7 linked regions of the Bombyx mori genome follow. The main gene of each other region encodes a partner of the protein of the gene in region 4 in a complex. Links are inferred from orthologs where the notes say so. Each region holds a gene or a part of one and is shown on either strand. Other genes may lie near its edges.

Region 1 (4,152 bases), on a different chromosome or scaffold from region 4:
TGAGTTTGAAGGTCTCAGTTTTAACAGTATAACGTCAGCCACACCCTTCAAACCGAAGCGCATTACTGCTTCACGGTAGCAATAGGCAGGATGGTGGTACCTACCCGTGCGGACTCACAAGACATCCTAACAACACCATTCTTTAACTCCGTATTGACTGATTATCGGAAGATATAATATGAGCATCACAGCGTGTAAGTAACCATCCATTTTGATTGAATTAAGGATTCGAAGTCTCAACTGTTTTGTCTATTATCTTGCCCTTTATACCGAAACGAATAACTGGTAGGTGGCAATAATAGGAAGCTTGGTCGTAGATACGTATCTACAACCTACGCTATACCGCCAATAATTACGAATTATAAATAAACCATAACAATCAATATCACAATCTTTCAATCCTTTTTCAGTATTCGCAAGTCTAATAATTAATAGAATAATTTTTTTTGTGCAGTGTTTCAATAATTTTGATGGAATCAGATGTCCTTTATTTTGAGAATATTTTTATTACACCAATATTGTATTTCTTCTGACAAATATTCTGAACCTGTGAAATGGTTTTTTTTTATCTAAGCTTGAGAGCTATGTCAGTGTAACTTATTAAGTAGGTGAGCTCACGGGGATCTAACCTGACGACGTTGCTAACACTAACCCTAGCAAGAGCAATACTTTGCAGAATCTACCACGGGATCGGAAACGCGACCCACTGAAAAGATCCGGCGAGAAATTCAGTGGGCTTTATTTGTGGGTTATTTTACTAGCCGAGCCTTCGTCGCAAGCGATGGGTTCAACGAGAACGATGAATGATGACCAAACGATGTTCAAATTCATGAAAGTGCACAACGGGTAGAAAAATGAAACGAAATCGCTACATGTGGTTTTTCGGAGTCTTTCAATTAACGTCTCAGGAAATAAACACGATTTTACTGAGAGATCATATCATAATAACTAGACTCTACAATACTCTACATGGGTAGGTACCAGCGTACTGTGTATTTCTGCCGCCAAGTAATCATGCATTCTGATTTAAAGGGTGGAACACACTTTATAGTGTAAAATAGAAAAGTGAAGTTAAAGTTGGGGGCAGCAATCACTTTGTGATGTCTTTAAGCTCCGGTAACTACTAATAGGCCTTGAGGTCATTCACCCATCTTCATAAGAAAAAGTAAATCATCTCATCTCGTTACCAGTAGTAAATTTTATTTTATTTCTTATAACGTAAATAGGCTACGGCCTTATAAAACAAAGTTTGTAGATATAAATTATACTGAAACTCACTTTAAAACTAGAAAAACTGTAAAAGTACGAGAATAAGTTTCTCTATATCATAGAGAAAAATATTTCAAGGCTCTACTAATTATTAGTCTGTGCTTGCTGTGGAACATAGTCTATGACTTTCACGTTTGTCGTCTGCTGTATTGGAAACATCAAACAATGTTATTATTTTTACTGTAAACATTGAATGTAGTTACCACGTACATAGTAGCGTTTTTGATACAAGAAATCCCAAGAGTCGCAGCGTTGGGGGGTCGTTTGTCCAGTTCATATGATATAAGGAAATAATACATATCGTTTATATTAAAAAAAGCTGTTAAGCTATATAGAGCTATGGCGTCACATTTAAGTACTAAAGATCGCTTATTGGCACTAATAGATGATATCGAACTTATTGCTAAGTGAGTTAAAACACGATTGAACTGTGGAAAACATTACCGATCAACTTCATGTTCTAATTCTTTAAATTTTCAGGGAAATAATAGAAGTTTCCATAGCACCAAAACCACAGAAAGTGTCCGCTGCAGATCATGCTCAGTTGACGGACCTACTTCTATCAAAACATGGAGAATTGAAAAAAACATTAGACCTAGCTGACGAACAAGCAAAGATCCAACAGAAAATGAATGAACTCAAAGCTGAAGTAGATAGTAAGGTAAATACTACAAAAGAGATTTATTTTAAGTAAAAAATGGATAAAATTTTGGAGTGGACTGACTCATCCACTGCTAGTTCACAACAATTTAAGCCACAAGCGAATTATGTAATTGAAATGTTTTTGTTGTGTTACTAAGGATCAAGATATATATCACCTTCAAAGACAATTGAAAGATGCAGAACAAATTCTGGCTACATCACTGTATCAAGCTCGACAGAAACTTGCATCAATAGTGAAGTCTAGAAAGAGACCTGTACCCTCTGAGGAGTTGATCAAATTTGCACACAGGTTAGTAAACAATTAAAGATTTCTACATTGAAATTAAATATTTTTTCTGAGTCAGGTCCTTAAAACACATGATGAGTACTCCTAAATATTGAATATTAAATATTTATGATCTCAACAGAGATTTCAAACCTGACCAATGACAACAGTGAGACAATGATAGTAGGCACATTGACTAACAAATAAATCAATGAGATGTTTAGTATATTAACAGTTGATTAAGTTTATTAATGCAAAAAGTCTGAATGGATATTAGGTATTGTGTCTGAATAGCCAACAATGTTATGAAAATAACTATCTACAGAAAACAGTTTCTTTCATAACTATAGAGTTACACTTTAATTAAATTACATTAAAAAGAATTTTTAAATATTAGACAGTACACTATTTTTGATGTGAGAACTAAATAGTACTTAAAAAAACTTTTTTTGACTTACTGATATTTTACAGAATAAGTGCATCTAATGCTGTCAGCGCACCTTTGTCGTGGCAACCTGGTGATCCTCGTCGGCCTTATCCAACTGATTTAGAAATGAGATTAGGAATGCTCGGTCGCCTCTGTGATCTGCCATTGAATGGTCACACGCCTTCTACACTGAATGAACTTCATCGTATAACAACTGGTGGAGGTATAAATGCATTACTCATTATATTAATGAATCATTCTTAGAACAAGTTGCATATGTATAGAACTCTTTGTGCAGTACATATTTATACAATTCTAGTATTGGTACTTTATCGTTATAGTTAATTTGATTCATCTACAATAAGCATGTATTATCATAGTTATTAATAGCTATGAGAGAAGTGGGTGATAGGGAACACCAAACACCTAAACTACTCAGCAAGTGCTTTGGCAGATATATCATGTTTTGGACCACTGTATTAAACTCAAATATACAAGAATAATATTTTTCAGGAAAGTTGAATTAATGATCAAATTTCTATAGGATTTGTAAAGAATAAAAAAAATCTCCTATGTTATTGCCACCTCTTTTTATTAATATTGTCAACAGAGGCTTCCTTCAAAACCCATAACCCATGGAAATTATTTAAGAATATTCTTATCATCAGAATTTTACAGAAACATTTTACCCTTTTGTTAATTGCATTAGGTAAAAAAAACATGTAAAACCATTTGCTTGTTAATCAGGTTTACTGTGTTATATTATTTCAGTACCAGCTTCAGCTTCAAGCCAATTCACTTGGCATCCATCAGGCGAGCTACACATGTCTGTTGGAGGCGGTAACTCTGTAGCTATTGATGGCCGAGGGAAGGATGCTCCCAACCAAGAAGATGTTGAAGTTATGTCCACAGACTCCAGTTCAAGTTCAAGTAGTGATTCACAATGAATACAGAAAAACCGTGGACTTCATTTTGATTAAAAGTGTAGTGCAACTCAACAAGTTAAAAAGACTGATGCTTGTGTTTATTATGAAAAAAATATTTGTAGAATTAATTCAAATGTTATTTAAATATCCTCATAGAAATGACATAATAAAAAAATTTATTCCACATAATCGTTTTGTTATATTTGAACAAAAATTTAACCTCCAAATTTATTTTTCGATATCTATGCACGCGAACTCTGCGATTAAGAGTTGGAAGTGCGAACTAGCCTGTTGACATAACCCAAACAGTTTCTCGTCAGTTCTTCTCAGTGGGTTGCGATTCTGATCCTGTAGGTTTTAACGAAACATTGCTCTTGCCAGGGCCAGTGTTGGCAAACTCTCTCAGGTGGAGCCAGTGAACTCATACACGTCCGCGCGTTCCTGGAATAGCCCCTTAGGCTACCAACGAATGGGTAGGTAAAATATATCAACGATCACGAGGCCCGATAGCACCGGAATATATTACAACTAATACTACTCATAGGAGTTGTATAAGTGTTTGGAGCTTTAAGACAACTTAGTCCGGATACTATTGCCCCTAG
Region 2 (3,500 bases), on a different chromosome or scaffold from region 4:
TCTACATCATTCAACTGTTGCTACTTCATGGTTTTGAGTTAAGAAACAGGGTTCAAGATTTCGTTAAGGAAAACTCACCAGAACACTGGAAACAAAATAATTGGTAAATATGTATATATGTATACTGTACTAAGTTTCTATGTCAATACAATAACTCGTAAATAATATATTACTCCATTAGGTACCTTATTTGTACTTTCGTTTAGAAACGATGCCTGTGTTTAGTATAAAAGTAATATGAAAATAGAGAAAAACCAATTTTATTACAAATTTTACATACGTATATATAAATAGATCTTAGAATATTTTATTTATTTATTGTTTAAAATACGTTTCAGGTACGAAAAGCATTTAGCATTTCAAAGGAAATATCCCGAGAAGTTCACACCAGAAGAAGCGAGTGGTGCATATGGCGCACCCATACCCGTTTATTTGAGTAACGTTTGCTTAAGATTGATTCCTGTTTTTGATATAGTCGTACATAGACATCTGGAGATACATCAAGTTGCTAAATATCTAGAACAGCTATTGGAACATTTGGGATATCTGTATAAGTTTCATGGTAAGTTATCGATCGCAGCTTTGGATTCTGTGTTACATCTAATGTGCTACAACAACGAGAATTGCAGCGAATTATTGTGGTTACGTTACAACGTTACACTAGTAAACAAAACAACATTATAACTACCCACTATAGTAGAATTATTTTGTCCGTGCAGTTTGAGTCATAAAACATAGCCCAGCTAGGGCGGTGAGCATGTTGCGCGGGCGCAACGTCATTATCGATAAAAACAAATGAGTTATCGAAGGCAGGTAGGTACACGGCGGCGGGGTGGTATACGAAGAGTGGTGGTACATTGTTATGTTATGAGTCATTTGTACTTACCTGCAAATTATAGTACATTATGTCGAAGATAAATGTGCTTTTATGTATTCGTTCTCTGAATTTCTTTAGTGACACAATGGCTACTCCTTTGTTTTGTATCAAACCGGCAGAATTTATTCAAAATAATATTTGTACGTGTTGTTATCAACAATGTGTTAAAATTTTTCACTGAAATAAGAATAGATCCCGAAAAGTTACAAATTGTTAATGTTAACGAATCAACGTCACGTGATACATTGATGGCTGTGATTGGCCAACGATGACGTCATATCGCACGAACCAATCACAAAACAGGAAACGCAACAGTGGCACCAATTGCCAAAATTTAAAATTATTACAACACGAAGAAAAAAGATGGACGCGCATTTCAATTCTATATTTGTAAATTAATTAAAAACAATATAATGAGTATTTGAAGAAGTAAACGCATTTATTCATTTTCTTGGCCACCTCAAGATACATCTAAGAAATAGACGCAACATTTCTATTGGACCTTCAGCACCGGATCATCAATTAAGTTGAACCAGACGCTTACTTGAGAGACGCATCGGCCATTGAAAAGGAAAATTCGGAAAATCTCACCAGCTTCGCAAGATTACGGTGCTTTGGCAAGGCGTGCTAACCAAAATTTGCTAAATTTTTTCCCCTTCGCGTATATAGTAGTACTGTGCTTTCTTCAAACCTTTTTTGCTTTTCATTTTGGGTACGTATTTCACTAATATTGAGCAGCTGTTTTGTTTTATTATTTAAAAACTGTAAGTACACCACCATTTACTTGTTTCCACAATGACTACATCAGATCATAAGGTAGAATTAATGATGAAAGATCTTAAAAGAAAACGCGCATCTATTAAATGTCGTTTGACTAACTTTGGAAAATACGTGAATTCATTCGAAGGTGTAGAATTAACTCTTCATCAACGTACCGAGCTCAAACTGCGGATGGCAGGATCGCAAAGTTTAATGAATGATTTTAACCTCGTTCAGACTCAAATAGAAGACATTAGTGTAGAAATCGACATAGAAAAACAATTAGAATCGCGTGAAGATTTCGAGCAAAAATATTATAATATTCTTGCCCTTGCTGAATGTCTGACCACCGCTGATGAAAAGTCAAAAGGTATGATGTCTGAACCACCGATTACAAGTTCCAAAAGCATTAAATTACCCACTATATCTGTTCCCACCTTTGACGGCTTATATGAGCACTGGTTAGAGTTCCGCGATACATTTTTGTCATTGATACATAATAGTGAAACAATTACAGAAATTCAAAAATTTCATTATTTAAAATCGTCTTTGTCCGGTAACGCTAAATCGGTCATAGATTCCATAGAATTCTCTGCTAATAATTATAAAGTTGCTTGGGAACTACTGTTAAATCGATTTGATAATACGAAACTATTAGTACATAACCATGTCAAATCCATGTTTACCATGCAATCATTGACTAAAGAATCACCAGTGCAATTACGCAGATTAATTGATAATATTTTAAAAAACCTTCGCGCTTTAAAGCTTTTAGGAGAACCTACAGAGTATTGGGATACGTTAATCATTTACATTATTGTCACAAAATTAGATTCCATTACCGAACGGGAATGGGAACAGCATAAGTGTAGTTTAATTACATCAACCAATAACACCAAAACTGTAGTTCAACTAAATGACTTACTTCAGTTTCTTAGAAATAGGGCGGATATTTTGGAAACACTTATAGTATCACACAGTAAAGCAGGCGTATATAGCGCGACAGACAATAATAAAAAGCAATGCAGTAACCAGTTAACATCTAAATTTCATTGCAATATAGTTTCAAATAAACCAAATAATAATAATAAATCACAAGGAAAGAATGCACGTAATTACAGACCCTGTATAATGTGTAATGATTTACATCCGCTATATTCATGTCAAAAGTTTTTGGACCTTAGTGTACAAAATAGATTAAAATTTATCCAAACTAAACAGTTGTGCCCTAATTGCATGCGTCCAGGACATACTGTTGACACCTGTGTGTTCGGGCCGTGTCGAAAATGTGATAAAAAACATAATTCATTAATTTGCGATGTAATTAAAAATTATGATCATAGTTTCCCTAAAGTTACGTTGCCATCTTGTGAACAATCAGCCGTCCCGTCTAATACGAAAGATAACTCGAACGCACACTCTTTTCAGGCGCAAACTACTGACACAATTGATAACATGCATCCAGCGCAACCAGTTTTGCTGTCCACAGCTATTGTAGAAATACGTAGCCAGTCGGGTGTTTACCATCAAGCGCGCGCTCTACTCGATAGTGGCAGCGAACGTTCATTCATCACACAAACACTTTGTGACAAATTAAATCCACCAATATTACAGTCCACTCAAAAAATCCACGGCGTAGGTAATATAATAACACAGTGTTCGCAATCCTGTGATATTGAGATCAAATCACGCACTGGTAGTTATGCTGCACGCATTCAGTGTTTAATTCTACCTCATATCACATCAAACTTACCTATGAAGACATATAACGTTAATTTGTTTACCATACCGGATAACATTGTACTTGCAGATCCAACGTTTTATGATAGTCAGCCGATTGACTTATTAATAGGCGCGGATTTGT
Region 3 (2,989 bases), on a different chromosome or scaffold from region 4:
CGACGTCGCCCAAAACACGTCATTTCGGATCCTCCCGATCCACTAACGGTGCTTTTAGGTACCCCAAGCACCGGTCATCGTTCTCGTCGAACCCTTCGCTTGCGACGAAGGGCTTGGCAAGTAAATGAATCCACAGACAAAGCCCACTGAGTTTCTCCCCAGATCTTCTCAGTGGGTCGCGTTTCCGATCCGGTGGTAGATTCTGCGAAGCATGGCTCTTGCTAAGGTTCATGTTGGCAACGACGCCAGGTTTGAGCCCCGTGATCTCACCTACTAGTTGGGTGAATCTAGAATAACCCCACGAGATCACTACATAGAATAGTAACAATATTTGTCTGATTAATGTCATTAGAAAGATTTAAAGTTCGAACCTCTCAAGTTTAACATTATTAACAATCTACCTGCCAGAGACAACTTTCTAAAAAAATCTCTTGACTCTATGTCCCTACTTAAAACATAACTACCAGACATTTGTCATAGAACAACTAAAAACGAATGAGTAAAATGTACATATTTATTTAATAAAAAAACACAAAACAGTCAACTTAGTTCATGTCGTTCTCATCCCTGTAGTCTTTCTGTAAGCACTGAAATGTTCTAAATACTGATATATTGTGTCTATTGGAGTGTATATTTCGTTCATTCTGCTTATTAGATGCTGAGGAGGTTGGACCGGAACAGTTGGCCCTAACAATCCTTGAAGGAACTCTCGAAGCAGACCCCAGACCGCATTAGCCATTACGCATGGTCTGTATTCTACCTAGAAATTATAGAACATATTCTAATGATACTGTGAATAATATCAATATAGTCTGAGATATTGAGGCAATGACAGAGAGTTAGGGAAAAGAGAATTGATAGATTGAATTGATTGATAGATTGACTCCTACACATCCAGTCTAGTCTATGCAACAATATGAAAGTCTAGCCGTTGCCCCTTGGCCAAAAATGTGTTTTGAGTATTAATTAGCACCAGATAGACGGTGAGCTCGAACATCTAATACTAAGAAAACTCAAAAAAAAGAGATGCCTAATGTATGCCTGACAATTAAATTTCCATAGAAAAAATAGCTTCATATTGTTATAATTATCAAGCCTATTCAATCCCCAAAACTAGGTATGACCTTTGGGCATATTTCTGCCACAAGGCACCACCACGCCACCAAGGTGTTCCACTTTAAATAATAGGTAACAGTTATCTAATATAATTGGCACTTCAACCTCATGTATTAAGGTAGCCAATGTCAAGTATGATATAATTTTCATGGTCCCTAATATTCACTACGCAAATTTTGAAAACTTTGACAACAACAGCAATCTATAAAAAACAAAGATTTTTTTAACATAATATTACGGAAGTATTCTTTTTAGGAACGTATTTCTCCATCTATCTTTATGTACTATTATAGATATAGTGACGGACGTTCTGGATGCCTCCAAGTGTTCACATATATTAACATAGCTATTCACTAATTATTCAATTCACTCACCTCAATCAAAATCCCTTTAAAATTCTGATTCATAGTAACTGATCCGAGCTTCACACAGAAATCTCCGAGCTCAAACCTAGGTCCTTTGCTCTCGATTTTGGTTTGTTTCTTAGAAGTATAATGCTGAGACAACTTCATCATTAACAAGTCAAATAGTCCGTCAGCTATGACGTGAATATTTTTCGTGCCACTTTCAAGGATTGAGAAGACAGACGCAGGCTGCTCAGAGTTGTGTAATATATGTACTGTTTTTGTTGTACCTGGAATATTTGAGTTACGTTTTTGCTGTCAGAAATTTTAAAAGCAGCATTAGACAAAACTTTAGGTAAGTGTGTTTCGTATTGTTAATTTCCACAAGCGTATGCAAGTAATGGTAACCGTTAAGTGGTCTGGCTGAATTTGATGAAAAGATAATAAATATTGGTATCAGCATCTCATCAACTTTTCAATTCAACTATCAAGTACACGATTAGCTTTGGTTTTTATAAATTCCTTGCATTTTATTTTTTATTGCTTAGATGGGAGCTCTCATCCCACCTGATGTTAAGTGGATGGATGGTGGTTACTGGAGCTCATAGATATCTACAACATAAATGCCCCACCCACCTTGAGATATAAGTTCTAAGGTCTCAGTATAGTTACAACGGCTGCCCCACCCTTTAAACCAAAAAGCATTACTGCTTCACAGCAGAAATAGGTGTGATGGTGGTAACCGTGAGGACTCACAAGACGTCCTACCGCCAGCAATTACACAAATTATAACTTTGCGGGTTCGATTTTTATTACACGATGTTATTCCTTCACTGTGGAAGTCAATCGTGAATATTTGTTAAGTACGTATTTCATTCGAAAATTGGTACCCACCTTCGGGCCACATAGGCCACGAGGACTTTAAGTACAATAAACTAGCTGACACCTTTGTAATGTCTGAAATATTTTCAAATATGTCATATCCATGTATTGGCGATGGGCTGTGTGATTTCTCTATAAATCGCTAAGTGGAATGTGTCTTTCTTTTTACTTTTAGCTTGGATTCAGTAAACACGTACCCATGAGTGGATGTGATAAATAACTCTCGCAATCAACCAGGAACTGTCCTTGTTGTGTCGCCCCTAATGCTAAGATACGCTTTGTAAGTAACTCCACTACATATGTTCCGGTCTTGTTCTCTGGCACTGGATATTGCTGTAAGCTGTCAAGTTAATAATTGAAACAGTTTATTAAATATAATCCACTCTTCACGATTTTTTTATGGTAGATTTTGTAGTTGTATCAAAAACATAATAAATAGATTTGTTTCGTTATTATTTTTAATGATACTCTTCCTTCAGTCTGGCCAAACTGTGTCAAAAATAAGCTACACTAACATGTATTTTTATTCGGGGATAGTTTTCATACACCGGATAAGGTTAAAGAAGAATTTGAGATAACGTATGAAGTCAAGAAGTTTACTTTCTACCTTTACATAGAGTTATTACTTTTATTAGTATTAGTATTAT
Region 4 (3,500 bases):
GTTATGAGGGTGGTGGCAATCACCTCTTTTTCTCTCTGTATACCAAAAATAATATTGTTTATGTTTTATTTGTCAGCTGTCGAACTCGAAAAGGTGTTGATGTTCGAAGTGAGCGCCCTCTCGTGGCAGCACATTTCTATATCGTTGGAACATCCGCTAGAAGAATGTATGGCCACCGTCGAACTTGAACTGTCGGATCCGGCCTCGCCCCGCGCGTCTGTGTACACGCTGAACAGTCCGGCTCGAGACCACATCGACGACTACATCACCAGGGTGCTGCAAAAGAGTCATTCTATACCAATAACGTTAAGGTGAGATATCATTATAAAGCAAATTAAAAAAAAAACAATTATATTTTGCTTTTTTCATTGGTTAGATTCTAACTCTACACACATAAAATAAGAAATTCTAGAATATTGTATTCTTCATAGAACACGATGCTAAAGATCAAAAGTCAGCTTCGACATAGTTAAAGTTGCTTGACGGGCGCAACGTGATGTATCGTAATTTTTTTTTATCAAATGTCCAATAATTTGTATGAAAACGTATTGGCTAATGTTTTTTTTTTTTTTTAACACTGAAACTCCTCGATAACTGTTAAAGAAAAATATACAGGAAATCGCTTGACGGACAAAGGAATTCTGAATTCGTCGTGGCCTAACAGATAAGACGTCCGGTGCATTCGTGTTGAGCGATGCACCGGTGTTCGAATCTCAGGTGGGTACCAATTTTTCTAATACGTACTCAACAAATGTTCACGATTGATTTCCACGGTGAAGGAATAACATCGTGTAATAAAAATGAAACCCGCAAAATTATAATTTGCGTAATTACTGGTGGTAGGACCTCTTGTGAGTCCGCGCGGGTGGGTACCACCACCCTGCCTATTTCTGCCGTGAAGCAGTAATGCGTTTCTGTTTGAAGGGTGGGGCAGCCGCTGTAACTATAGTTGAGACCTTAGAACTTATATCTCAAGGTGAGTGGCGCATTTACGTTGTGGATGTCTATGGGCTCCAGTAACCACTTAACACCAGGTGGGCTGTGAGTTCGTCCACCCATCTAAGCAATAAAAAAAAAAGGAAAAAATGTCACATGGCTTTTTTTTTTTAAATACTATCTCGCTCGTTTCAGGTCTCTCGTCAAGATATGGGAGCGCGAGGCCGCAGCGAAGCAGATGAACGGCGGCTACTCTGCCCTGGACTCGAATTTTAGTTGCGGCGTCGGCGGACTCGACCCCGGCGGCGAGCAGCTCAAGCACGAGCCCGCGCACCCGCACCGCGCGCTCTACCCGCACCCGCACCACGCCGGTAACCATGCCTCCCCTACTCTTATACATAACATTACAGATCTCTCTCTCGTATATACCTAGTCTTGCCATAAATACTATTATTTTAAAAATAAAAAAAATTCTATTGCAATTTTTTTTTTTTGCTCTTGTAGGCAGACGAGCATACGGCCCACCTGATGGTGAGTGGTTACCGTCGCCCATGGACTTCAGCAATGCCAGGGGCAGAGCCAAGCCGCTGCCTACCGCTTAATACTCTCCACAAGCCTCGTTTGAAGAAGGACATGTCATAGCGCTCGGGAAACACCGTGGAGGGGAGCTCATTCCATAGCCGGATGGTACGTGGCAAAAAAGATCTCTGGAAACGCACTGTGGATGACCGCAGTGGCTCCAGGTAGTATGGATGAACTCTACTCCGGTGGCGGGCGGTGCGATGGTAAAAACGAGATGCCGGTATCATCTCGAACAATTCCTCAGAGCACTCCCCATGGAACATACGGTACAGAATACAGAGGGAACCGAAGTCCCTCCGCAGACCCAGAGGCTCCAAGTAATAACATTTATTACTTTTACAGTGTGTTAGTTTAATACATAAATATAAAACAATTTAAAGTATAAAAAGCTTATTCGAAGTGGTCTCCATTGGCTGCAATACAGTTCTTTAAACGTTGAGGCCAGTTATCAATAGAAGCACGCACTCTTTCCGCGGGAAACATTTTCACTGCCAATCGTACGGATTGTTTTAGGGACTCCAAATTATCATGGCGTTTAGAGCAAGCCGTACTCTCTAAAACTGACCATAAATCATAATCCAGCGGATTAAGATCAGGACTAGACGACGACCAGTCTTCAGCTCTGATGAAGTCCGAAACGTTCGTTTCCAACCAAAACTGCGTTGACCGAGCTTTATGACCTGGCGCCGAGTCTTGCTGGAAGGACCATTCTTGATTATTGAACATGGTGTTGTTAAGGGGCTTCACTACCTTCTCAAGAATGGTATCTTGATACACTTGTACCGATGTTTTGATACCTTTTTCACAAAAGTATGGCTCAGTCACTCCTTCATAGCTAATACCCCACCAAACCATCACTGAAGTCGGATAGTGCCCACGTTGCACTCTGTCGACTAATTGGGAAGCTTCCTTAGAGATTTGAGCAGAAATACAGTAATTTTGTTTGTTAAAATGTTGCTCAATTGTAAAAAATTTCTATGACCGCCCTTTGCTTACCGCTTCAGTTGTTGTTTCGATTTTACCACCCTATTCTCTTTTAAATTATCAGTTAAGAAATGACCAGTACGTCTGTTATAGGCTGCATGCAAGTACTAAGTCATCTTTTAAAATACTCGACATGGTTCTAGGTGCTATCTTCATCTTCCGAGATAAAATCTTTTGCTTTCGGACAGGATTTCTTCGAATTCTTTCCCTTACTGCTTTGACCACCTTTTTCGTACGAACACTACGTGGACGGCCAGATCTTTTTCTGTCACAAACAGAGGAGGTCTCATTGCACCTATTAATAGCCCGGCACACAAACATTTTACTAATACCAAGCGTATGGAGAGTTTTAAACATTGCATTTGGCTCCATACCTACTTTGTGTAATGCAATCACAGCGATTCGGTTCTCTTTATCACCCCACTCCATTTTAATATCGCAAAATATTGTACTATGTATTGGCGCCAAAATGAGAAAACTCAATGAGCAATCATATAAAAATGACAGATTCCAAATTCAAATGTAATATTTTGTTTATTTTTAATTGTAACAGTATTTATGGCCAGACCAAGTATATTTCAATCGATAGGTACACCGCCTGAAATTCGTTTCCCAAGATACTTGTCCACCTGATGTTACTATAAAGAATTCTCTCTCTTTCTTTCTCCTCTGTCTCTTTTTTTTTATTGCCCATGTAGGCAGACGACCATACGGCCCACCTAATGGTGAGTGGTTACCGTCGCCCATGGACTTCAGCAATGCCAGGGGCAGAGCCAAGCCGCTGCCTGTTGCTCTCTCTCTCACACACACTCACTCTCTCTCTCTCTCTCACACACTCACTCACTCTCTCTCTCTCTCTCTCTCTCACACACTCACTCACTCTCTCTCTCACACACACACTCACTCTCTCTCTCTCACACACACACACACACACACTCTCTCTTTCTCTTTCTAACATTTTCTATATTTAATTGCACCACAATTTAACTTAATACTTC
Region 5 (4,294 bases), on a different chromosome or scaffold from region 4:
AAAAAAACTAATATGAAATGAAAAATACATATAAACATACATAAAACAATAACTTAAATACACTTTTTTAAAGTGACAGGAAATGTTTCTTCATTTGACTCTTAGAAACTTCTAGAGAGGAACTAGCACAAATAGGTTGAGGGAGAGAATTCCATAATCGCACTGCTTGTATTGTGAAATTGCATTATCATCATACTTGTTTAAGTGGTGGGCAAAATCTTGGGCATCTCTGGTGGGCATCTTTCATCTTTGTCAAAGTAAAGTCATACCTACCTTATATGAACTAATAACTTAGGATATGTGTACAATGGTCAGAATAATCCCACCTGTCTTTTCTGTAGATATTCACCAATGACTGGGGTCTAGAACTGTGAGTAGCTGAGTGTATCCTGAGTCACTGACGTGTATAAGTATTTTTGTTATGAAGAAAACAGGCATGCCAGTTTGAATTATAAGATGCCTGCCTGCCATACAACTGAGACTTCGGGCATGTGTTTTGGGTCAGGTGAAATAAGATAAGCATGTGTGTCTAAATTTTATTGAAGACAAATTGTTTTTCACTACAGTGACCCGCATCTTTTTTCAACCTCTAGAAGTTAAAAATGGACTACATAATATGAATGAAATGTTTATTAAAATCTGTCAACTGTTTAGGTAATTATGATAATTTTCTATTGTAACTTTTACTAACCTGTAGATCTCATTGACTCTCCTTCCCAGTCTTCGCGGCCTTTGGATATAATTTCCCAAACGTGACTGACAACTTTAGTGAATTGAGCAATGTGTTTCTGGAATATAAAACTATTATAATCCATACATCATCCATCTATATAATTGTAGGTAACAACTACACAACATTACATGAGAAAGTGAGCTTGTTATAATTGCATGTCTTAAGTACTCAACTTGATTATCATGCTAATTTTGCAGACAAATCTTGATTATATAAAAGAACTTATTATACATAGTTTAATAGAATTCAATGATGATATGATTGCAATGATACTGAATGATGACCATGACCACCCTGACAAGTGATACAACAAAAAAAAGAAAGAATTGATACATACTTCAACCAAATATCTCAAAGCAAGAGGTTGATTTAACTCTGTGATATCTATGGGTCCCAGCCACTATATCTCAAGTGAGCTGTGGGTTTATTCACTCAACAGTGCATTACATGTTTTAACCCCAAATATATCTATTTTTTTACCGTTTACAATGAAAACTAATTTAGATTGCGAAGTCTACAAAGAATGTCATAAAAAATTAGCCCAAATAGTTATAATGGATATTTTTCCTTGTGGTACATTAAACCTTATGCTTCTTTAAATGTTTCTGATATTTAAAATTAAATGTTAATTATTGTCTATACCTGTGCTGTATCATAGCTTAAAGTACTAGCTTTATGATTAAATTGCTGGAGACGCTGTTCAGCCTGGGGTTCAGGTTTGGTACGAAGTAAATCTGGAACTAAATCATGAGTGCAAGCTGGAACTCTGCCTTCTGTCAAATGAGCCAGTGTTTCATCACGTTCGCAACTTAATTGAAGTGGTAAAACAATTCTAGACCGCAATGAAGCTGCTTGTTCGGCTTGGAGAATTTTACTGAGGCCAGTCAGCTGAAAATAAAGAGTTAATAAAATTTAACTAAATAACACATGATCTTTAAAGTGAAAAGCTTATGTACAAATGCACTTAAATCTGAAAACAAGTCTCAAAATGGGATAATACCTAATAAATATCAGTGACCACGCTAACCAGGTTACATCAAGTGAGTTTTGAACTCGTCAGTTTTTGTTTCACTGTTTTTTCAATAATAAATTAATTATCTTTCCTACTTCAAGTTGAAATCCATCTCTGTAGACTTGTTGACTATTACACACACTATTTATGCTATGAATTTCAATATACAATTGGACTTACGTGACCAGATAAAATCGCGTAATTATCTAGAAAAGTTGGCCAATTTATTGTCTCGTATTCCGTTTCTAGTTTATTTATCAATGCTTGTATTGCAGTTTTTAAATCATTTACTCTATTTAAAATCGCAACTATTGTAGCTTCTAGTTGCTTTTCTTCTCGCTGCTGCATATTCATTGTTGTAAATGGTAGGTACACAATTGTAACTTTTTAATTCTCTTTGTTAGATTTTAATAAGGTTTAGGTACCGTACCTTACCTAGCTATTAAATAACCGTAAGGGACTAAGGGTACATAAGTAATATATCTCAAAATGGTACCATACGGTACCTACCGTACCGTAAAATGGGGCGATTAGGGACAAATTCCAACTTTATGAGCAATTTTAAGGTAGTTGTTGATGTATATAATGCTAAATCAGGATCAAAATGATTGAGTCTTGGGGGCATCTTTGTTGTCTAATTTAAAATTATGCAACTAGCATTCCAGTTTAAGCAAAAAATGCAAAAATAGGTGTAATCCCTATTTACCCGAAAATTGCGGTTAATTGGGACGAAACGAGAAATTTGCTAGGGTTGGCACTACTTTTATTTTTATATATAGTTTTAATTTATTTATTTATTTAGTTGCACCAACAAAGTGATCATCAATAAAAAAAATTGAAAAACTGACAAAAGTACATGGCAGACATCACCTCAATTATAGGTGCAATCGACAGTGCTGATATTTCTATCTGGATTAAGAGATTAGGTGTGTCGGTTATTCCATGGATTAATCAGATGAATACCCCCACTCTGAACAAATATTAAATATGTAGCAAACCGACCGGTACGTCACTCTCGCGGCCGTATGCCCGCTCGCTATACATAGTTAGTATCTATGTCAATCTTGTAACAGTGTATAATCTATGTTCCGGGCGCTTCCGTTTTGAGTGTGAATAGCGTGCGCCCGCGTCTAAATGTAATTATTGTTTAAAAATTGAAAATTGTTTGTTATAAAGGAAGATTAAAATTCGAAATTCGATATTGGTGACTAACCCATAGTTTTAAATACCCCTGAGATCTACCCCTCACTATATCTGGCTGCCCAACGTTTCCTAATTTTTTTCTTGCTTGGACTAACAAAATGGCGCGCACGCTTTTGTGAAAAATTTGCTAACTATTGTATGCTGTTGGTGCTTAATTGTAAAGAATGCCTTTAACTAGAAGTCAAGATCGCCAGCAACGTCGCGAAGACGACGTTATTCCTGCTGCAGATGCAAATGCCAACGAAAATCACGAGGAGCATGATAGCCCCCATGATCGCCCCCACGCCGAATCACGTAGCAACAATTCTACGTTCAACTTGGATGATGTTTCAGCGTTGATGGCCTCGCTGCAACGTTCGCAGGCCGAAACATTTAAGAACATTATGTCGTACGTGATGGAACAAAGATCGTCGACTCCGGCACCTCCGCCGATGCCCCCAGTGAACGTAGATGGTACCTTGGCGCGTTGCAGAGCTTCTTTCAGCGGTGCACCTGGTGAATCTGTTGAGGCCTTTATAGATGCAATTGAAAGTTATACAGAATGCGTTCAAGTATCTGACGCTAACATCATACGAGGCCTAGCCATGCTTTTGTCTGCTGACGCAGCTACGTGGTGGCTAGGATTAAAGCATCACATCTCCACTTGGAACGAAGCCAAAGAAAATTTAATATATGCATATGGCACCCGCCTTCCACCACATAGAATATATTTGGAAATATTTGTTTCCCCGCAGGATAAAGAAAACACAGACAAGTTTGTTGCTCGTATTCGTGCGCTTATGGCAAAGCTACCGCGGGATGATATTGCTGAAAAAGTACAACTTGATATGATATACGGGTTGCTTCATAATAGAATACGCACAAGATTGCGCCGTGAAGAAATCACATCTTTCAATTCATTATTAAACCATGCTCGGAATATAGAAGATTCGATAGAGGAGACTCAATCGAGACCAGTGTCGTCCACTAGTGGTGTGCGTTCGATCCGTGCCCAGCCGGCCCAGGCTGCGAGTCGGCCTGAACCGTGCGCCGCTCGTGCGAGTGCCCCGGCGCCGCGCGCGCGCTTTCCAAACTCCGCCGCGGCCGTCGTGCCCGCCACCGCTGTGCCTGTCGCTGTCGCCCAGCCTACCGTTGCCACGCCTGCCGCTGCTGTGCCAGGTTCTGCAGAGCAATTCGTGACCACGAAGAAACAGCGTCCAGTGTGCTCCTACTGCAAACGGTTTGGACATGCACGGGAACAGTGCCGTAAGTTAAACAACCGAGGTGAGCAAAGTCAATCTAACTTTTCCGAGGGTGTGCAAAATGACAATAATGCGTTTTATAGTGTTCAGTGTAATGTTAATAAT
Region 6 (4,253 bases), on a different chromosome or scaffold from region 4:
ATCTAGTTTTATACGTTTCAGGGCGATCTGTTTTAGAATTAAGTGACTTTTTAAGTCGAGCACTGTCCAAACTTAAATTTTGGCTTGTCTCCAACGCTCTTAATCTTTCTGTTTCAAAAAGTTGCATTGTGTTATTTTCTAGAATGCGGCTTCCTCCTCCTGTTTCCGTATATTTTGATAATGAACTTATTCCATCTGAAAATGAAATAAAATTTTTAGGAGTTATTCTAGACGCCAAATTATCAGGTTTATCACATTGTTATTACGTTATAGCTAGATGCGAACGAGTTTTGAATATTATGAGATGTTTAACTGGAGTCTGGTGGGGTGGACATCCATATAATCTAAAGCTCCTATACAACGCTCTCATACGAAGTATTTTAGATTATGGTACTTACTTTCTTGAACCATGTAATGCAGTCGGACTAAATAAGCTTGATGGCATACAATCAAAAGCTCTCCGTTTAATAACCGGTGCAATGAAATCTAGTCCTATCAATGCTTTACAAGTTGAGTGTGTTGACCCTCCTCTGCGACTCCGTCGTCAATATCTTTGTGACAAGTTTCTGTTCCGTGCTCTACAATTTACCAAGCATCCCCTTCATACCAAATTATCTACTTTATCACATTTAGTTTCATCTTCCCCCTACTGGAGGCACAAGTCTCTACCTTGTTTAGTCGTGAGTTTTCGTAAATTTTCCTCTTTGCTTGCCCCCACTCACATGTCTCATCGTCTCTCTATTTTTTCTGCTGAATATGAAGCATTAACTCTTGTTCCTAAAATTCATTTTACCTTAGATATATCTCGATCTATTTTTTCTGCCAATATCGATTTTAATATCATCTTAGATAGAGAGTGGTCAGATCGACATTACATTTATAGCGATGCATCTAAAAATTCTTCCTCTGGTCTCGTTGGTGTTGGAGTTTATCATCAACAATCAAAAATTGTCCAAAAAATTAAACTTCCACCAGAAAGCTCTGTTTTTACTGGGGAATGCTACGGATTATTTAAAGCTATAGAATATGTTAATTTGATGAAATTACATAAATCTGTTATTTTTTCTGATTCCAAAAGTGCGCTTCAGGCACTTCAGAAATTTCCTTTCAAATCTTGCGCCAATTACCCTGTTATTGTAGATTGTAGAAAATTACTGTGGGAATGTAATTTAAAAGGTTTCGATGTAATTTTTGCCTGGATTCCTAGTCACGTGGGTATTTCTGGCAATGAATTTGCTGATAAACTTGCCAATGATGCTGTGGATTGTGGAGATATTTATCCATACAAAATCTTCATAAATGATCTTTTGTGTCTTCCGAATTCAGACCTGCGCGAATCTTGGGGACAAACATGGGCTATTTCTAGTCAATATAAAGGAAAGAATTATGCCCAAATACAATCTGTCATTCCTACCAAGCCTTGGTTTTACAATTTTAGATTTAATAAGATCACGACTACTATCATAATCCGGATGAGACTGGGTCATGCTTGCACTCCATCTCATTTGACTAGATTGGGTATAGTCAATAACAATATGTGTGATTGCGGCGCTGATGTTGGCAATTTAAATCATATTTTTTTCGCGTGCTCCTTAAATGACTGTTCCTCATTTATTGATTTATTAACATCCCTTGGTATTCCACTCCCGACTTCTATTAATACTTTGCTGTGTACTATGAACTATGATATTTATTTATGTATTTCAAATTTTATCCTGAAACATAATATCAAATTGTAATTATGTATATAAATACCTACCTGATCCATTCTTTTTAATTATCCGTTTTTTCCTTTTTCTCCTGTTTCCCTACCTTTACCCTTGTATGTGGCTAAATGCACAAACAGTGCAAGCTAAAAAAGAAAAAAAAAAAAAAAAAAAAAAAAAAAAAAAAAAAATGTCTATTTTGTGATTGGGCTATTATTATTCAAGTTTGATCATATAAAGTAATGTTTATTCTCAAATGCTCGCTATAAATAAAATATCTTTAAAAATGTGATAAACTTAATATGCCACACAAATATAACGAATTAATTTCAATATTCAACAGTGAACAAGAAAATGTAATTTGTAACCTCAAAGACTAGTAGTAAAGTGTTGTTTAAACGACTAATATCACGTCAAAAATGTGTGAAATGTAAGAAAGAAACATTATTGTGCTCTAATAAAATACAATAAAAATGGATGCTTCCAAAATAACGAGTAAAACTAGTTCACTAAAAGCTTTAATTTTAAAAGCTTGGAAAGAACGATGGACTGATATTCAATGGGGCATCAACATCAAAACTATACTGCCGAGGGGCGTCAGTGGTGACCTATATAATCTGGCTGATTGTATTCTTCAACAAGCCATGGTAGGCTGTGGGGCCAATCAGTTAGTGATATCGTATTTGAAACATTCACTTGCGTGTCATTTGGTCTCTTTCGCGGCTGTGTTACAACGAATCGCAAAATTTGATGCTTTTCACAAACCTCATTGTATAATAAGCTTGTTGGAGTTCCTTGAAACCTTTTTGGAGAGTATTACATGCAGAGGCAAGTTAGAAGAAGAAGTTTTAGCTTATGCTGTATCATCTATAATATTGTGGCTTTTACAAGTATTTCACTATTCATTAACCAAGTATCCAGCTTCAAGTTCTGTTCAAAGTCAGGAATTATTGGAGAAATCATCAGTTTTACTGAACTCTATTGTTAATACAGATTTTCTGATTGCAATGTTCTATTTGGCCAAGCAGAATGATCCTGATGAGTATAACGAAGTGACAAAGAAATGTCAAGAGATAACAGCATTTATGATGATGAACACTCAATTCAAACCTCCGATGACCATACATGTCACTTTACACAAAATCTGCAATATGGAATTGGATAAAATAGCACCCTTAAACAATAAACCAGAAGCTGTAACCTATTGTCTGCAGGCTTTAATAGCTATAAATGTGTTCTCAAACCCTAGTGCAGGCATGCAACAGATCTCCAGCCAACTACTAATGGTTCAGAAAATAAAAGGCTATTCATTGTCACGTCTCTACTGTGAACTTATTAGAGCTTGTTTCATTTCACTAAATGATTCTAGTAATGATGCATCGAAGCAATCATTGTGGGCTGCATTCACTTTTCTAAAAGTTCCACAAGTGATAAATCACCTCCATAATATGTGTGGGACAACAAATAAGGAAAGTGAATATTCTACTGAGGTTGTGGAAGCTTTTGAAATGTTATTACAATCAGCTCCACTCCTGGATATTGTTGATACGAAGAATTCTTGTAATAGTGTTATTTCACTTATAGAGCCATTAGTTAAACTTAATGTTCTGTCAGATAATACTTTGACATATTTTAAACAAAAACGTGAGACTATTGATCATCCTTTACAAAAATTTGAGCCAATAGGATTACAAGGCTCAGTCCCATTATTTATAACTCGTGTTGAACCTACATTGGCAGAGATTTTAAAAGCATTGAGTGGTGAATTTCACAAAACTCAAGAGTCGCTCTATATCATGCTATGCCAAATAGTTGGTCGAACTACATTGGATACCATCCTGGCCGTTGCAACTGTGGAAGGAAAACTAAAAATGTTTGTGTCAAGACTCATTAAGTTTAATGAATTTGCATTGTTTGCTGCAAGTGAAAAAGGTGCACCACAATCAAAAGTATATATATTTGACATTTCATTTTTGCTTTTATGTTGGATAGTCCAAGATTATGGAGCTGATGTTGTTCTAGAAGAAAATGGTGATTCATTTTTTGAGAAATGGGTAAGGGATTGTATGGTACATAAAGGAAATTATAAATCTTCAGATCAGATACTTCAGAAATGTGATCATGTTGTTGATGTTATCATTCACCATTTGAGTGCTCCTGACTTTGATTTCAAAAATACTAATGTCAAACCTCATGATCTTTGTATGAATATCACTGGTGCAGTCAAAGAGGTTCTTTTTGCTTGGGAACAAGGTCTACTTTCGGCAACAGATGTTAAAAGAATGTTGGATTCTATAAGACAAAAAATGGCTTCCTTGGCAGTGTGTGCATCAGTATGGCTTTGTTCATACATCAATGTTGTCCATCAAGATGCATCAATAAAACCCATGAATATGGTTCAGCAATTTTTAACATCACCTACTGAATTAGAATTAACTCAAATAGACAATTTTCAAGAAAGAGCAATTTTGATGTGTCAGATAATAAGAAAATTACTGTTTAAAATTCATCCTACCTCAATGCCAAAATCAAAAGAGCAGCAGTTGC
Region 7 (4,022 bases), on a different chromosome or scaffold from region 4:
GGACAGCATATGCCTATATGTGAAGGTTGGCTCACCATAATGTTTTTTATGCTAACCAAATTTGTTCTAAAATAAACCATTATTTGTGAACTATTTCACGCGGACGATGTCGCGGTCAAAAGCTAGTCTTGGATAATTGGATAAATCTAATAAGAAGCAAAACAGAAAAAATGGGCTAAATTAGAAACTGATTGGTTAAAAGAACTACCGTTCTAAAGGTGGGTAGACAACATAAAGGCCATTGCAGGTTCTACGTGGAAGAAGAAATGTCACGATCACGACAAATTACATTAATAGTATGTACCTAAATATGCATTAAGATTGTTAATAAAGGTTTCTTTATCTTTATAATTAGATTAATTGTCAGAAACAATAAGTAGCTCTGCAGTCTGTTTTGCACCTACTGAGAGATTGCACAAGCTCCCGATACACTCACCCGAATCCCTTGAGAGTAGGAGAGAACCGAAGCATTTGTATTTTTTCAGGGATAACCGCATCTGATTTTTTATCCACGGCCACCACACGACGTCCATTGTGGAAAAAGGCCCCTTGGATTATGTGTTCTCCTGAAATATTTTGTCATTTATTGACAAAAATGAAAAATAAAAAACAAGAAAACATCTTTATTGATATGGCCTTGAAAAGAATCTTTATTACATGTTTATAACTTATTAAGATCTATTCAAAGAAATATTTTTAAAAGCCACCACTCATCATGAGACATGGGACCAGAGTCATGTTGCAGTGACAGCTATCCCAAACATCAATTGGAGCCACATTATGTCTCATGATAGAACAGACAGGGCGATGGTACCAGAATATGAAAATGTTGACTATCTAAGCGTTTAAATAAGGGCTGAATTAAGTTTGCACTTAGAGAGCCATCTGATCTTATATGTTCTTAGGTACCACAAACAACCCCTATGCATAAATCAATTAAAAAAGTTGACTCAAAATTACATTAAAGATTTTAAAATAGCAATGCATTTAGTGTACGACAACATCAGAGAAGTGGCAGTAGTCGTAATGCTTTAAGATAAACAATTTTACTAAAATAACTAGTTTTGTACTTAGGTAGTTAAATTTTTATCTTACCAGGGAAGTTAGCACTGTAAAGACATGTCCAATCATTGAGGAGGAAGTCTTTCTGTCCATAGACAGACACATCACCCACTGTAGTGGCTACTAACAACTGTTTGCCTTCCAGGTCCCACTCTAGAGCTGACACCTGGAATTTGTATCCATTATTTTATTAGAACATAGTTGCATAAAGAAACAAAGTTGTAAGAGTATTTCCATACAAACTTTTAGATAGCTTAATGTATTTTTCCGAACCTATAGACCGTATAAAATAGTATGGTCATCATTTGAGTATAAAATTTGACAGCAAACTTCAAAATTTTGGCAGCACAGGGTTTGAGAATCACTGCTATAAACTAGTTTTTAGATCATTTTGTTAAATAATTGAAATTGTTGATGTGGATATCAATTATAAGTAAGAAGCATATATCATCACAAATACTAAGTTATGAAGAAGTTACAAATATGAGTAAATCATATCTGTAAATCATGAGTAAATCATATCATAACCACAGTGAAATCAATTACTGTAGATCCTAAAATATTGATAATATGAACAGATTGACATTTGATAGCATTAATGTAGATGTGTGTAAGGTTTAAAGAGTCTCACTGAATATTTCTCCAACATAATGATGGTAGGCAATGACGATCATCTGACACTGTTTATCATCTCCCGTAATTGTTTAACTCTTGGTGAGTGAGCTGGTCTGTTCACTTATGCGAACAAAACCTGGCCACATAGGGTTCTAGTCTACTATTTGATATGGAAACTCATTAATAGTGTTAATACATAAAGAGCTCATTTGGTTGTAAAATTATACCACTTTTGAATAACTGATCTGTATCACATAGTTTCATTATACTTTTACTATTTCACACTTACAGGATAAGCTGTACTTGTAACTTTGTGACTGTTCCATGGGGTATCTAAGTCACATACATACACATGACCTCCCCATGTTGCTCCGTCCACATCACTAAGCTCTGTCGGTGATGAGAATGCTATGATATTTGCACATGATATTGTACATATTGGTCGGACTACTTCAGAGTCTTTTACACTAGAAATAGACAACATTATTAAGCATTGAGTTTATGTAACACCAAGAAACAGAAATAATGTTTTACAAACAGAACACAGAACGCATGGGACTATTTTAAAATACTTGAATTTTATGTAGATGTGATAAGTTCTAAAGTCAGCTCTTTTTATAATATACATCCATGAGCTGAGCAGTCTCCTATTACTTTTCTCCTTAATTTGTTATTTTTATCCTTTTAGTGTTTTCTTATGATGGAAGGCATCATGAACAACGGTAACTTAAAAAATAAGTTGATGTTACTGCCGTTAAAGATATCTTAATTTGTAAACTCTTGTTGCGAGGAGATGGTCACGACCCTCAGTATTGAGGAAACCGAAGCAAGAAGAAGAAGAATTTGTAAACTTTAGTAAATTTGGATAGAAATATAAACTTTTGATATAAATTTAAACTATTTACTTTTCGAAGTGCGGAGGTTCACATTTAAGTGGCTTGCGTCTCATAGAGTATATTAGCTCCATTACAAACTACCGCGGACTGCGGTTAGCGATTTGTGAACGAAATGTTTAATGTTTATTAAAATACGCATGTAAAGCAGGTTGGAAATTTGAAGTTAATAAGATTGCAAAAACTTTATTTGTTGATACCTATCACGTCAGTTTTTAAAATGTGTCAAAATGACAATAACGTTTTATTATTGCTTGGATCTGAATTTATATATTTATTTGTGGAAGTACCAATTGTATGTAACGAATGATAAAAGGATTATACGTATTTTTGGTTGGCACGGATTATATTTATTTTTTAAATGTTTTGTCTCCTAGCGATTTCGAATTTCATATTGTATGTCAGAATTTCCATTGCCAATTCCATTTCTCGTTTGACAGAAATCAACGAAGTGTACTAACTTCAGGGCGCTCCGTTTCGTCCCGGGCAATGCCCTTTCAATATCGAATTGTTTCCGAACGTAAGTGGACATGAAAATGGCGGATCGCGTAGTATCGCTCCGAATTCGTTATCTGTGAACTTTAACATAAATATTTTTGATTTTATGTGAAAATGTGATAGTTATGAATTAAAACCTCTAGTGCAGTGGTCTTCTATTGGTTTGAACCATGTTTCGGACAGGGATCGTAGCTTACGGCGTGAGAAACTGGATATTCTTGTGGCTGTCGCTACATTTGTTTACATACGTTCAAGGTAGGCTCCTTTCATGTAAAATACGGCATTTATTATCGATCCATTGTCTTCAAGTAACTGTGAGCTTGCCTGCACATGCCAAGTTAAAATATTCGAGAACTTTGGCATAAGTCATTTAAAATAAGGAAATTATTTACATTTGGATTTAGTTTCTGAAGCGTTTTATTTACTATCTTGCAAATCTACCTAATTTAAGTTTAGTAAGTATTTATGTCTCTCTGACGCTTTTAGAGCGGTTGTTAATAAAATTTATGAGGATGTGTACGGCTTGGGCGCGGTATATATTTTATTACTTTTGGACTAAAGTTATGAACTTTTAATAGAAAATATGTCTTCTTCAATAATACTTTCTGTTTTACGGTCAAAAGTGAAGTTTTGTTATTTTTAATTATTCTGTTTTTTTCTCTGGATAATTTTATTCGATCCTTTGGATTTTTCTGATTTAACTTTATAATTTTGTACTAGTATTACTACATACATAATTATACTTATCCAACGTCTCGTATATTTTATTAAATTGTAACTTTTACCTGCCTATTTGCTGGTAGTATAAGGGGCTATTCCAACAACACACGGACGGGATACCTATTGTAACACACACTCGACAATTAATGGCTGAAAAAACAAAAAGTATTAACTTTCAATATGTGATCGCGATATATGGGATCTTATGAGATAAAATTATAAATATGTACATAT

Evidence for each region.
Region 1: mediator of RNA polymerase II transcription subunit 1 (region 4) and mediator of RNA polymerase II transcription subunit 4 share a complex: the UniProt entries of both Drosophila melanogaster proteins name them as parts of the mediator complex. The link is inferred for Bombyx mori from reciprocal best matches to the Drosophila melanogaster genes MED1 and MED4.
Region 2: mediator of RNA polymerase II transcription subunit 1 (region 4) and mediator of RNA polymerase II transcription subunit 23 share a complex: the UniProt entries of both Drosophila melanogaster proteins name them as parts of the mediator complex. The link is inferred for Bombyx mori from reciprocal best matches to the Drosophila melanogaster genes MED1 and MED23.
Region 3: mediator of RNA polymerase II transcription subunit 1 (region 4) and mediator of RNA polymerase II transcription subunit 20 share a complex: the UniProt entries of both Drosophila melanogaster proteins name them as parts of the mediator complex. The link is inferred for Bombyx mori from reciprocal best matches to the Drosophila melanogaster genes MED1 and MED20.
Region 5: mediator of RNA polymerase II transcription subunit 1 (region 4) and mediator of RNA polymerase II transcription subunit 8 share a complex: the UniProt entries of both Drosophila melanogaster proteins name them as parts of the mediator complex. The link is inferred for Bombyx mori from reciprocal best matches to the Drosophila melanogaster genes MED1 and MED8.
Region 6: mediator of RNA polymerase II transcription subunit 1 (region 4) and mediator of RNA polymerase II transcription subunit 24 share a complex: the UniProt entries of both Drosophila melanogaster proteins name them as parts of the mediator complex. The link is inferred for Bombyx mori from reciprocal best matches to the Drosophila melanogaster genes MED1 and MED24.
Region 7: mediator of RNA polymerase II transcription subunit 1 (region 4) and mediator of RNA polymerase II transcription subunit 16 share a complex: the UniProt entries of both Drosophila melanogaster proteins name them as parts of the mediator complex. The link is inferred for Bombyx mori from reciprocal best matches to the Drosophila melanogaster genes MED1 and MED16.

The regions. Positions count from the first base shown.
Region 1 is NC_085112.1:8,189,583-8,193,734, reverse strand, and holds mediator of RNA polymerase II transcription subunit 4, read left to right. Parts: upstream 1-1,352; 5' UTR 1,353-1,608; coding exon 1,609-1,676; intron 1,677-1,749; coding exon 1,750-1,930; intron 1,931-2,069; coding exon 2,070-2,221; intron 2,222-2,668; coding exon 2,669-2,847; intron 2,848-3,395; coding exon 3,396-3,571; 3' UTR 3,572-3,739; downstream 3,740-4,152. UniProt on the Drosophila melanogaster protein: Component of the Mediator complex, a coactivator involved in the regulated transcription of nearly all RNA polymerase II-dependent genes.
Region 2 is NC_085107.1:8,828,202-8,831,701, reverse strand, and holds part of mediator of RNA polymerase II transcription subunit 23, read left to right. Parts: coding exon 1-103; intron 104-338; coding exon 339-562; intron 563-3,500. UniProt on the Drosophila melanogaster protein: Component of the Mediator complex, a coactivator involved in the regulated transcription of nearly all RNA polymerase II-dependent genes.
Region 3 is NC_085134.1:1,809,452-1,812,440, forward strand, and holds the end of mediator of RNA polymerase II transcription subunit 20, read right to left. Parts: intron 2,683-2,989; coding exon 2,540-2,682; intron 1,751-2,539; coding exon 1,491-1,750; intron 761-1,490; coding exon 551-760; 3' UTR 501-550; downstream 1-500. UniProt on the Drosophila melanogaster protein: Component of the Mediator complex, a coactivator involved in the regulated transcription of nearly all RNA polymerase II-dependent genes.
Region 4 is NC_085114.1:6,968,256-6,971,755, forward strand, and holds part of mediator of RNA polymerase II transcription subunit 1, read left to right. Parts: intron 1-76; coding exon 77-311; intron 312-1,131; coding exon 1,132-1,307; intron 1,308-3,500. UniProt on the Drosophila melanogaster protein: Component of the Mediator complex, a coactivator involved in the regulated transcription of nearly all RNA polymerase II-dependent genes.
Region 5 is NC_085118.1:10,646,257-10,650,550, forward strand, and holds the start of mediator of RNA polymerase II transcription subunit 8, read right to left. Parts: upstream 2,801-4,294; 5' UTR 2,100-2,800; coding exon 1,926-2,099; intron 1,622-1,925; coding exon 1,376-1,621; intron 789-1,375; coding exon 692-788; intron 1-691. Other genes in the region: uncharacterized protein LOC134199859, read left to right, coding at 3,113-4,294. UniProt on the Drosophila melanogaster protein: Component of the Mediator complex, a coactivator involved in the regulated transcription of nearly all RNA polymerase II-dependent genes.
Region 6 is NC_085113.1:5,802,057-5,806,309, reverse strand, and holds the start of mediator of RNA polymerase II transcription subunit 24, read left to right. Parts: upstream 1-1,453; 5' UTR 1,454-2,179; coding exon 2,180-4,253. UniProt on the Drosophila melanogaster protein: Component of the Mediator complex, a coactivator involved in the regulated transcription of nearly all RNA polymerase II-dependent genes.
Region 7 is NC_085108.1:235,489-239,510, reverse strand, and holds the start of mediator of RNA polymerase II transcription subunit 16, read right to left. Parts: upstream 2,801-4,022; 5' UTR 2,645-2,800; coding exon 2,583-2,644; intron 2,145-2,582; coding exon 1,967-2,144; intron 1,229-1,966; coding exon 1,096-1,228; intron 567-1,095; coding exon 437-566; intron 1-436. Other genes in the region: neogenin, read left to right, coding at 3,239-3,323. UniProt on the Drosophila melanogaster protein: Component of the Mediator complex, a coactivator involved in the regulated transcription of nearly all RNA polymerase II-dependent genes.